Linked DNA regions of Tribolium castaneum. The protein of the gene in region 1 binds, or shares a complex with, the protein of each later gene. Links are inferred from orthologs where the notes say so. Each region holds a gene or a part of one and is shown on either strand. Other genes may lie near its edges.

Region 1 (4,565 bases):
GTTCCAAATTTTGAAAGTATTTGAACACCTTTTGAAACAATTTATGAAACATTGCCAAGCAGCATTTTGTGCACCCTTGAAAAAGCTGTCAAAAGTGTATGTTCTATTAGAAAAGACCTTTTTGTTTAGTTTAGTCCATACCATATCACCTCCTTAAATATCTTACATTATTATTTTAACACCTTGTACCGGGTGCTCAACAACAGCCGCACCAACTCAATGCTACGCGGTAGAGAAATGCTTTCATAAAAAGGTAAAAATATTTTTTTTTAATTGGTAAATAACAAACTTTAAAGAAATGATTGTGGCAACGTTGTCTAACAATCGAGATCGCAATAGATCCCGATCAACAATAAAAATGAATAACTTTTGAAGTGGTTTCATAGGAAATCCCAATGTTGGCACATCTACAAATTGTGATTTTTGGATAAATTTTATTTTTTTAAATCCAAGGAACTGCTAAAGTCAGATAGTAATTTTTAAAATAATTATTCATTACGTTGGGGAACGATTACTTAGTGTGAAACATAGAAACATTAAAAAATAATGAAAACTGAAGAAGTCAGTAAACTAAGTTTGTAGCTTCATATTTTTTTGAATATGACTAGGAATTTTTTCAAGATTTTTCATATGATCTACACATGCTTTCCAACATTTTACCAGTGAGCTGGTGCACCAGTTTTGGAGCAGCCTGTATATTTCTTGAAAGAGATAAAATTATGAAAAGAAAAACTGACTTTGTGGTTATAGATATTTCGCCAGTTGTCCAGTTACCGCTCGTAAAACGTCTAAAAACTAATAACCTGATAAAAATTTATTTCAAGGTCGACAATTATTTATGTTTCTAGTATACCTAAAGATACAAACCAAATTTTTTAAGACTATTTGCCATTTTCACCTTTAACATGTCATAATTTTGCAAATAAAAATTACTACTAGATAAAGCATAAAAAGTCCGATCGAAAAGATACAGAAGATGGTTTCATAAACTATAAAGCTGCATTCAAACTTAAATATCTATTTTCGCATTGGAGTAATAAGGTAAACATCACATCGAGATCCTATAAATATGACTAATAAATAACACACTTTGTACAACGGAAGACAAGCAATTTTGGCACGTCATCCAAAAATAAAATACAAATATATTGTCCAAAAATATTTACGAAGTGCATTCGAAGCAGGTGTTACAACAGACTATAAACAAAACTTTTCAAGAATGTTTCCAATTGTGAATTCAGCCACTCCTTCAGCAGGAAAAACTAATTATTTCCCAATAATTATAAGTGGTTCGAATTTATGATCATTTGCGCCAATAAAACTCCAGGACCGTATCGACACATTTTCAAATAATCAATTCCGGTTAATTAGGTCGCGAATTTAGAACGTCGAAAAAACGCAATCATCCGCAATACCTTTCGGTTACCTCCCCAATTACCCGAAAATTACATAATTAGGAACATAACACTTTTCAACTCCTCGCTAAATCGCCCATCGTCCCTCATCGGCTCCGCTTCGGCAAACTCCGGCACTGATATTAAAATGGAGTCTAGTTTACAAGCACAACGATTTGTAGTCGTTCAGACGGTGCGTTGCAAAGTGAAGTCTCTTTTTCGGCCGTTTTTCAGCGGAACCTAAGGGAAAAGTGGCCCTCAAAGGGCATCAAACGAAAGCTGAAGCCACGCCGGACACGTTGAAGGTAAATTTTTTGACATTTATGTAATCTGTGAGGAGTTTTCGCCCAAAACGATAGCCAACGTCGATCTCCGCAGTGGCATACATGTTTGTTCCGGTGTGCGCGTGCGCAGTGCCGATTTTTTGCGGGAACTTGGGGTGCCGGGCTTTTTCGAAATTTTCGTAAATTTAGAAGGGCCACCGCTGAGGTGAACTTCGGAGAGGGTTATTTAGTCGGGAGTTTGCTCAGTGGGAAGGTTCCTAATTGAACACTGCTTTCGCGGGTTTGTTATCAAATTGCGGGAATCCGGACGTTTATTATACGCTCCGGCCGGAATTTAACGTCACATTTTTAGTTTAATTAATTTAATCGATGGTAATTAATTATCTGATTTATTTGAGGTGTTGTGTATTATACCGATTACGATAAGAATAATTTATTGCAGTTATTGGTGCATTTAGATTGGTCATAAATATTTAATGTGTTGACGGATTAAATTAGAAATAGTCAAATCCTTGATCTTAGACAACTGTAACCGAAGTGCGACCGAAAAATCAGAATACACGCAACGGCTTGTACAAGAATACAGAGTATTTATAAAATGTCTATCATCAAGTCACCTAAGTCGAATTTAATCGCTATCTTCTGTCAATATACTTACATTACACCCAGATATTTGTAATTAATTTGTAATTTGGCTGTTTGACAAAAATGCATGTTTGCATGAATAATGGCAGTTTTGTTGTTACTTTTTTTGTAATAAGAATCTTTTATCGTTGATATTGCGTGTGGGTTATTTATTTTTACATATTTCATTGATAAAAAATCCAGGCATATAATATATGATTACTTCGTTGCCAACACGTTAGATCTTGTTACAACTGACATTTTGCATATTGAAAATATAGCCAAGCTTCAAACCGTGCCGAAACCAAGAAATAGTTGAGTATATACGGGGTGAGTCTGCTAAAAGTATGTTTCACTATTCTCAGAAACTAATGGTCGCACCGCATTCAGTATTCACTGTTAAATACATAGTGACGGTTTATAGAAGCGTCAATAATCTAATTCGCAATTAAATGCGTGATCAACTGATCACGTGAACAAATGATTGGTCTATTCACGTTGTTAACTTTTAACAACGAATTAAAATTTAAGGGAGCTTTCTATAAACCGGCCTATTAAGTTTTTTGCTATGTATGTGAAATTTTTCCAAATTTTTTTACTCTTCTTTACAAGGTGATTCAAAAGTGTCGGACAAACTCTCGTATGGTGATAAAAGACATTCAATTAAGGACAAAAATGAAGTTAAATATTTTTTCTAAGAAGTCATTTTTTTATATATTTTTTAATTTGTTTTCTTTAGCAGGTGTATCGATTTTTGCTCTTTTGTTTCCTATGATGTCGAATTTTATTTATTAGCGAATTTGCGAGTTTTTTAATTGTTTTGTACATCATATGACATTAATTTTTGATTTTTTTGTCGTTTACGCAAAACGTCAAAAAACATGTAATCTGAATCACCAAAAACTTAACTGAAAAATTCTACTTTGAGTAGTTATAGCTCGTGGAAAAAGGCTAAAACAATTTTTGTCATAGGAATTTTTAATTCTCTTTGATGTCCTTTATCCGCACCCGAGAGATTGTCCGGTAATTTTGAATTACCGTTAAGTTAATTTATTAAATTTGTATTAATATAATGAAATTAAAAAAATGGGGTTGGTTTATGGAATCGTCATTATTTTAATCCACAATTAAATGCGTGATTAACTGATCACATGACCAAATTAAAGCAATTTGGTTGGTCCATTCGCGTTGTTAACTTTTAACAAGGCAGTTAACTTTAATTGAGCTTTCTATAAACCTGGTAAATGCGCCCAAAGAATTATATTTTAATAAAGCTTTCTATAAACCGACCCTTAGTGTTATTCTAAAACAACGATGTCTAAATGTTTTCGAGCAAAAATTCTTATAAAATAAATTTTGGTAGCCCTAAAATTACGTTTATTTAAATTTTGAATTTATAACTTTATTTATTATTTTTGGGGCTAGCGACATTTTTTATGGATTTTTATCACAGGACAACATTTAAGTATTGCTTGTTTTCAGATGACACAAAAAATAACAGTTAATAATAATTAATAATTCATAAATTTTAGGACCGGTTTATAGAAGCGTCATTAATTTCACTGATTAACAGATCACGTGACCAAATTGAACCAATGTGATTAGTCTATTCGCCTGTGATTAGTTTATTCGCGTTGTTAAGTTTTAACAACGAATTAGAAATTAATGAAGTTTTCTATAAACCGGCCTATAATTGCTTAAGGAATTGTAGAAAAATTCTGAAAAAAATAAATTAAATTAAGTTTTCAGTTGATTTTAAGAGATAATAATTAAATTGCTTGCAAGTGGTTGAAATAAATGAAATATTACGATAGATTTTTTTTGGGTAAAATATTTATACATGGTGTTGGTAAAAACAACGGTGTAACCCTTCGCTTACTGCAAAATTACAAAAAAATGTAAAATGGCCATTTTTTTCTAACTAATTTGTCTTTACAGCTAGAACTTAAGTAATAATATTGTCTTATTAGGAAGAAGGTTTTAAATAATTGCAAAAGACGAAATACCTACTAGACAACATTTAAAAAAAACTAAGAAGAATCTTTGCCTTGAAACACCTTTACCTTTACATTTCCTTATAAGTTAATTAATTTAGTTAAATTTAAATTAACTTGAATCGTTGCATAAAAGTTGACATGGCTTAGGGTTTATAATACATACTGATAATCAAAAACAATTTTATTATGTTGAATAAATATTGTATATTTTTATTTTGGTTTGCAAGAAGACATTTTTGGTATGTTTTACTTTTTAAGTCAACAAT
Region 2 (4,528 bases), on another chromosome or scaffold:
TAGACAATTTTTACATTTTTATAAAATGAGTGTATTTACCTCATTTTTAAAAAGAAATCGGAAAAAAATTGACAAAAAGATAAATAATAATCTATAAGTAGGTATTCAGGTTGTATGATGATTGAACGTGCTTATAATTATTGTAACATTATCCACTTGCCTATCGTCTGCTAAAACTTCATGCAGACGTTAGTTTGAGTGACTTAGATAAAAGACTTAAGCCTAATTTATCTTGATGACTTAAATGCTTGTTATCTACTTGTTAATAAAACAATGACATCAGTAAATCGTTTTACAATGTGAGTACAATTAAGTACACACATAAATGATATGAATAGGGTACAAAGTTTTAATTTAAGTCACTTGACTTTTTTTATTGATAGCTGGTGTATCTAAATACAAAAAGTAGTTATAAACATTTGGATAGGACAAGTTGTAGTTATTCTAACGTTTGTTTTCTTTGTTTGTTTGTTGTTATTTTGTATTTCGTATTATTTTAAACTTTTAACTAGAAAAAACTTATACATTTACGGATCAATATTGTGGATCAATGATTCTTTTAGACCAGAATTAAATTAAAATTGCAAGGACTAACAATTAAAAAAATTAATGTGTTTTTCAAAATATCTTTGCAAATGTACATACTATAACTTTTTATTTTGAATTTGCCTCATTAATTGTGGCCAAAAGCCAAAAGATAAAAACATCTCCAAAAGTACATAGTTAAATAATAAATAAGCACGAAAAAACATCGGCAAAGATACTATGAGTTAGTTATGATAAATGTTTTTTTTAAATGACTGTTGTAATTTAATCTGATGAATAATTTTACTTATGGTTTCATAAAATTTAAACCTATTGTAAGATTGCTCAAGTTGGTGGCTTATATGTTGCTAAGGCGATAACATCAGTACTTATACGTGCTGATGTTTAAATTTCACAATCCATAAGGCAAACAATATAAGTATGTCAGTGATTTAAGTAACTTAATGTAATAAACAACTTACTTTTATCATTTTATCGGTGACTTTATAGTTCGTTTCTAAGAAAGATGAAATCAAGGTGAGTATTCAGTTTCACATAATGGATTATTTGAAACGATTTGAAGTACTATTCAAATTCATGGTAAAACTTAATTAAATTAGTTAATAAAGTATAAAAGTTTTTTTTTCATAATCTAAACTAAATACATAGAGTTATTCACTTAAGACTTCACGCCTGATTAGGTAAAAAGTGCAGCACACAATGCACTAGGAGTAGCATGGGTGTAATTGATACAACTAAACATAATTATTTTTTGAATAAGAGCTATCTCCTATGAATAAGAGTAAGCGGCGTATAATTTAAAAAGTAAATGATTTTTTTTGCATTCTAAAAACATTTTTTTTAATTAGGCAACCAAATTTACCTCCAACAAATATTTTTTTTCTATGGTTGGCGGCAGTTTCTTTTTCAATTTCATTTCCAAACGCTAAGTTAGGTTATAATTTTCATTTTTACTTCTGCAAAGTATTGAAAATGGAAAATGAAACGAAAGAAAATGCAAATGCACACGACGATTCAATACTTAAAAAAGGTCGCCATCGAAAAAAGCAACTCTACAATTCCATTTTGCAGCAAATGGAATTTTATTTTAGCGACTCTAACCTCACCAAAGATAGATTTCTATCTCAATTAATAAAGGAGAATCCTTGTAAGTGACTATATGATTATTTTATGAGTAGTTGTAGGTAAATACCAAGCACTTTTTTCAGTTGTCGACCTGAACGTATTTTTGAAATTTAACAAAATTACTAAACTCACAACCAGCATAGATGATATCCAAAAAGCTGTACAAAAGTCGCAGTTAATCGAATTATCAGAAGATCGTAGTAGAATTCGTCGTACAAAACCGGTTAAAGAAAAGGCTAACGTTGATGATTGTACGATTTATGTAGAACGCCTAAAATCCGATGCAACTCATGAATGGTTGAACTCTGTTTTTTCTGAATTTGGAAATGTGGTCTACGTTTCTATACCAAAATACAAAAACAATAGTGCCATAAAGGGTTTTGCTTTTGTCGAATTCGAGAAAGAAAAGGAAGCGCAAAATGCTTTAAATTACTTTGAAAGCATTGGCTGCAAAATGCCGTCAAATACAGAACCAGAAACTCTTTGTAGTATTAAAACATTTGAAGAAAGTAATGAACAATCTGAGGCTTCCTCTAAAAATTCTACACTGAAGCCAAAATCTGGAGAAGACGAAAAGGCAACAAAAAAGCGAAAACTTGAAGACAATAGTGAGAATAGCGAAAAACTAGATAGTGAACACTGTGAGAGTAAAGCGGAGGAAAAAATAAGAAAACGAAAACTTGAAGAAAGTGAATCCGGCGAAAGTGAAGAAAAAGGGAAAAAAATGAAAGTCGATGATAGTAAGCACACTGAAGAAAATGATGAACACAGTGAAAGTGACGAAAAAGAAAAAAATTCAAAACATGATACTGGAGACGTTTCTGAGTCGGACGATGCCGAAAATAAGAAAAAGAAGAAATTGAAAAAAGAACACAAAAAGAAAAATTACATAAAAGAATTGGGCCTCCAAGTGTTATCAAAGTAAGTGAAGCAGCTAGAATTATCTTTAATCATTGATAAATAATTGTTTTTTAGAAAAGAGTGGAAAAAGATGCGAAATCGGTATCTAGATTTACAAAAGAAGAAAATGAAAGAGTTTAAAAAACACCTTCTAAAAGCCAAGTTTAATCAACCAAATTATGAACAAAAGTCGAAAACTCCCACTGCTAAGACTGAACTCAACAAAGAGGATTTTACCAAGGGACTTATTGTAAAAATAAAGCTAACCGAAGCTACCCTGGATATAAAGAAACTTAAGGTAAATTTTCTAAACTAAATATCTTGGCCAATTTATTTGCGATAAATCGTTTTTCAGAATGAAATTAAAACTTCTTCAGCTGATATATTGTACGTAGATATTCCAAACCCTGGCAGTGAGAACATTTATGTAAGATTTAACACCACGGAGGGCGCTAAAAATTTTTGCTCCCAAGAATCTTTTGGCAAAAAAGAGGTATTAACAGGACAGGAAGAATCTTCATATTGGGAAAAAATTAAAACAGATCGTGAGGATAAACTAAACAAAGCAAAAAAGAAACAACGTGGTAGAGACAAACTGTTAAAGAAAGCAAAACATACAAAATTTGATGATTAAGGTTTTGTTTTCAGTTTAAATTTTTTTTAAATATTCTTTATTTATTAACTTTGTCAAACAGTGGCACCATCCATTTCGTGTTGTTTGCTGACATATTCACACAAAAATTTGAAATAACCTGTAGTTCTTATTTTTCATAGATCTATTTTCGTAATAAAAATTTCATACACTTAATGGAACAATTGCCAACCACAAAAAACATTGGTCACAATTTCAAGTCTACCACCTCTTGCCGCCGCCGCCCCCTCCTCGGCCGCCGCCAAATCCACCCCCACGACCACCTCTAAAACCGCCGCCGCCCCCACGACCCCCACGTCCACCGAAATTGCCGCCTCCTCTTCCTCCAAACCCGCCGCGATTGCCGCCCCCTCTGCCACCACCGCGGCCTCCGCCACCCCCACGACCTCCCCCTCGACCGCCTCGTTTCTGGACTGAGCCTGGGGGCTTCGGTAGGAATCTTTGAAGTGGTAACAACTTCGCAGGATCAATAAACAACTGCAAAACATTATTTTAGATGTGTGAATGGTAAGTGAATTTTTTTATACCTTTTGATTCTTTTTAAAACTGCTAGCTTTTATGTCGTCTCCGAGACGTATCGAAACGTAATAATCTCTGAGATTTCCAAAAATTTCATCAATTTTTCCGATTTGTTCCTTATTTTCGAGGTAAATCGGCGCATTGAAAAATGGAACGTCTTCTATTTCTACTTTAGCAACTAAATCATCTTGTACGGTGTAATCGAAGTAGCCCAAAGGAATCACTCTCTCAGGAGGGCCTTGATCATAGTTTCGCCCGCCGCCCCCGCGACCACCAAAACTATTTCTCCCGCCGCCTCCACCAAAATTTCGAGCGCCGCCGCCCCCACGACCACGACCTCCAAAGCCGCCACCACCGCCGCCTCGGCCACGAAAAGACATTTTGTTTCACTCCTCAAATAATTAGAAACGTAAAAGAGCGTCCCTTTGTAAACACGTGGTTTACACTAAATTTTCAGTGCGGCAACATAACCTCTCCTGCAAACGTAACCTCCAACTGTAAACACTCCTAAACTTTGGGCCCTCTAGGAGTTTTCTGAGTTACCATCAAAACAGAAAACTGTAAAGTTAGAAGATGAAGCTATAACTTCAAACCACATGTGTATAATTAGTTGCATACTTTGAGGGAAAAAAACATTTTATTTTTAAATTAACCTTGAACAAAATATTGCTACGCCCCACACTTCCCATTGGTTTCCTTTCTTGTTGAAATAACCATTTAAAGCTGATTCTAGCAACAGTGCATAATTATTAATTATTTGACTTCGTTCTGGGAAAGGTTCCATTG

Evidence for each region.
Region 2: 7SK snRNA methylphosphate capping enzyme bin3 (region 1) and Larp7 share a complex: the UniProt entries of both Homo sapiens proteins name them as parts of the 7SK RNP complex. The link is inferred for Tribolium castaneum from reciprocal best matches to the Homo sapiens genes MEPCE and LARP7.

The regions. Positions count from the first base shown.
Region 1 is NC_087395.1:19,350,892-19,355,456, reverse strand, and holds the start of 7SK snRNA methylphosphate capping enzyme bin3, read left to right. Parts: upstream 1-1,544; 5' UTR 1,545-1,699; intron 1,700-4,565. UniProt on the Homo sapiens protein: S-adenosyl-L-methionine-dependent methyltransferase that adds a methylphosphate cap at the 5'-end of 7SK snRNA (7SK RNA), leading to stabilize it.
Region 2 is NC_087394.1:30,501,720-30,506,247, reverse strand, and holds the start of Larp7 (la-related protein 7), read left to right. Parts: upstream 1-1,437; 5' UTR 1,438-1,518; coding exon 1,519-1,693; intron 1,694-1,754; coding exon 1,755-2,592; intron 2,593-2,646; coding exon 2,647-2,869; intron 2,870-2,926; coding exon 2,927-3,205; 3' UTR 3,206-3,424; coding exon of another isoform or gene 3,425-3,700; 3' UTR 3,701-3,750; coding exon of another isoform or gene 3,751-4,122; 3' UTR 4,123-4,528. Other genes in the region: Gar1 (H/ACA ribonucleoprotein complex subunit 1), read right to left, coding at 3,425-3,700, 3,751-4,122. UniProt on the Homo sapiens protein: RNA-binding protein that specifically binds distinct small nuclear RNA (snRNAs) and regulates their processing and function.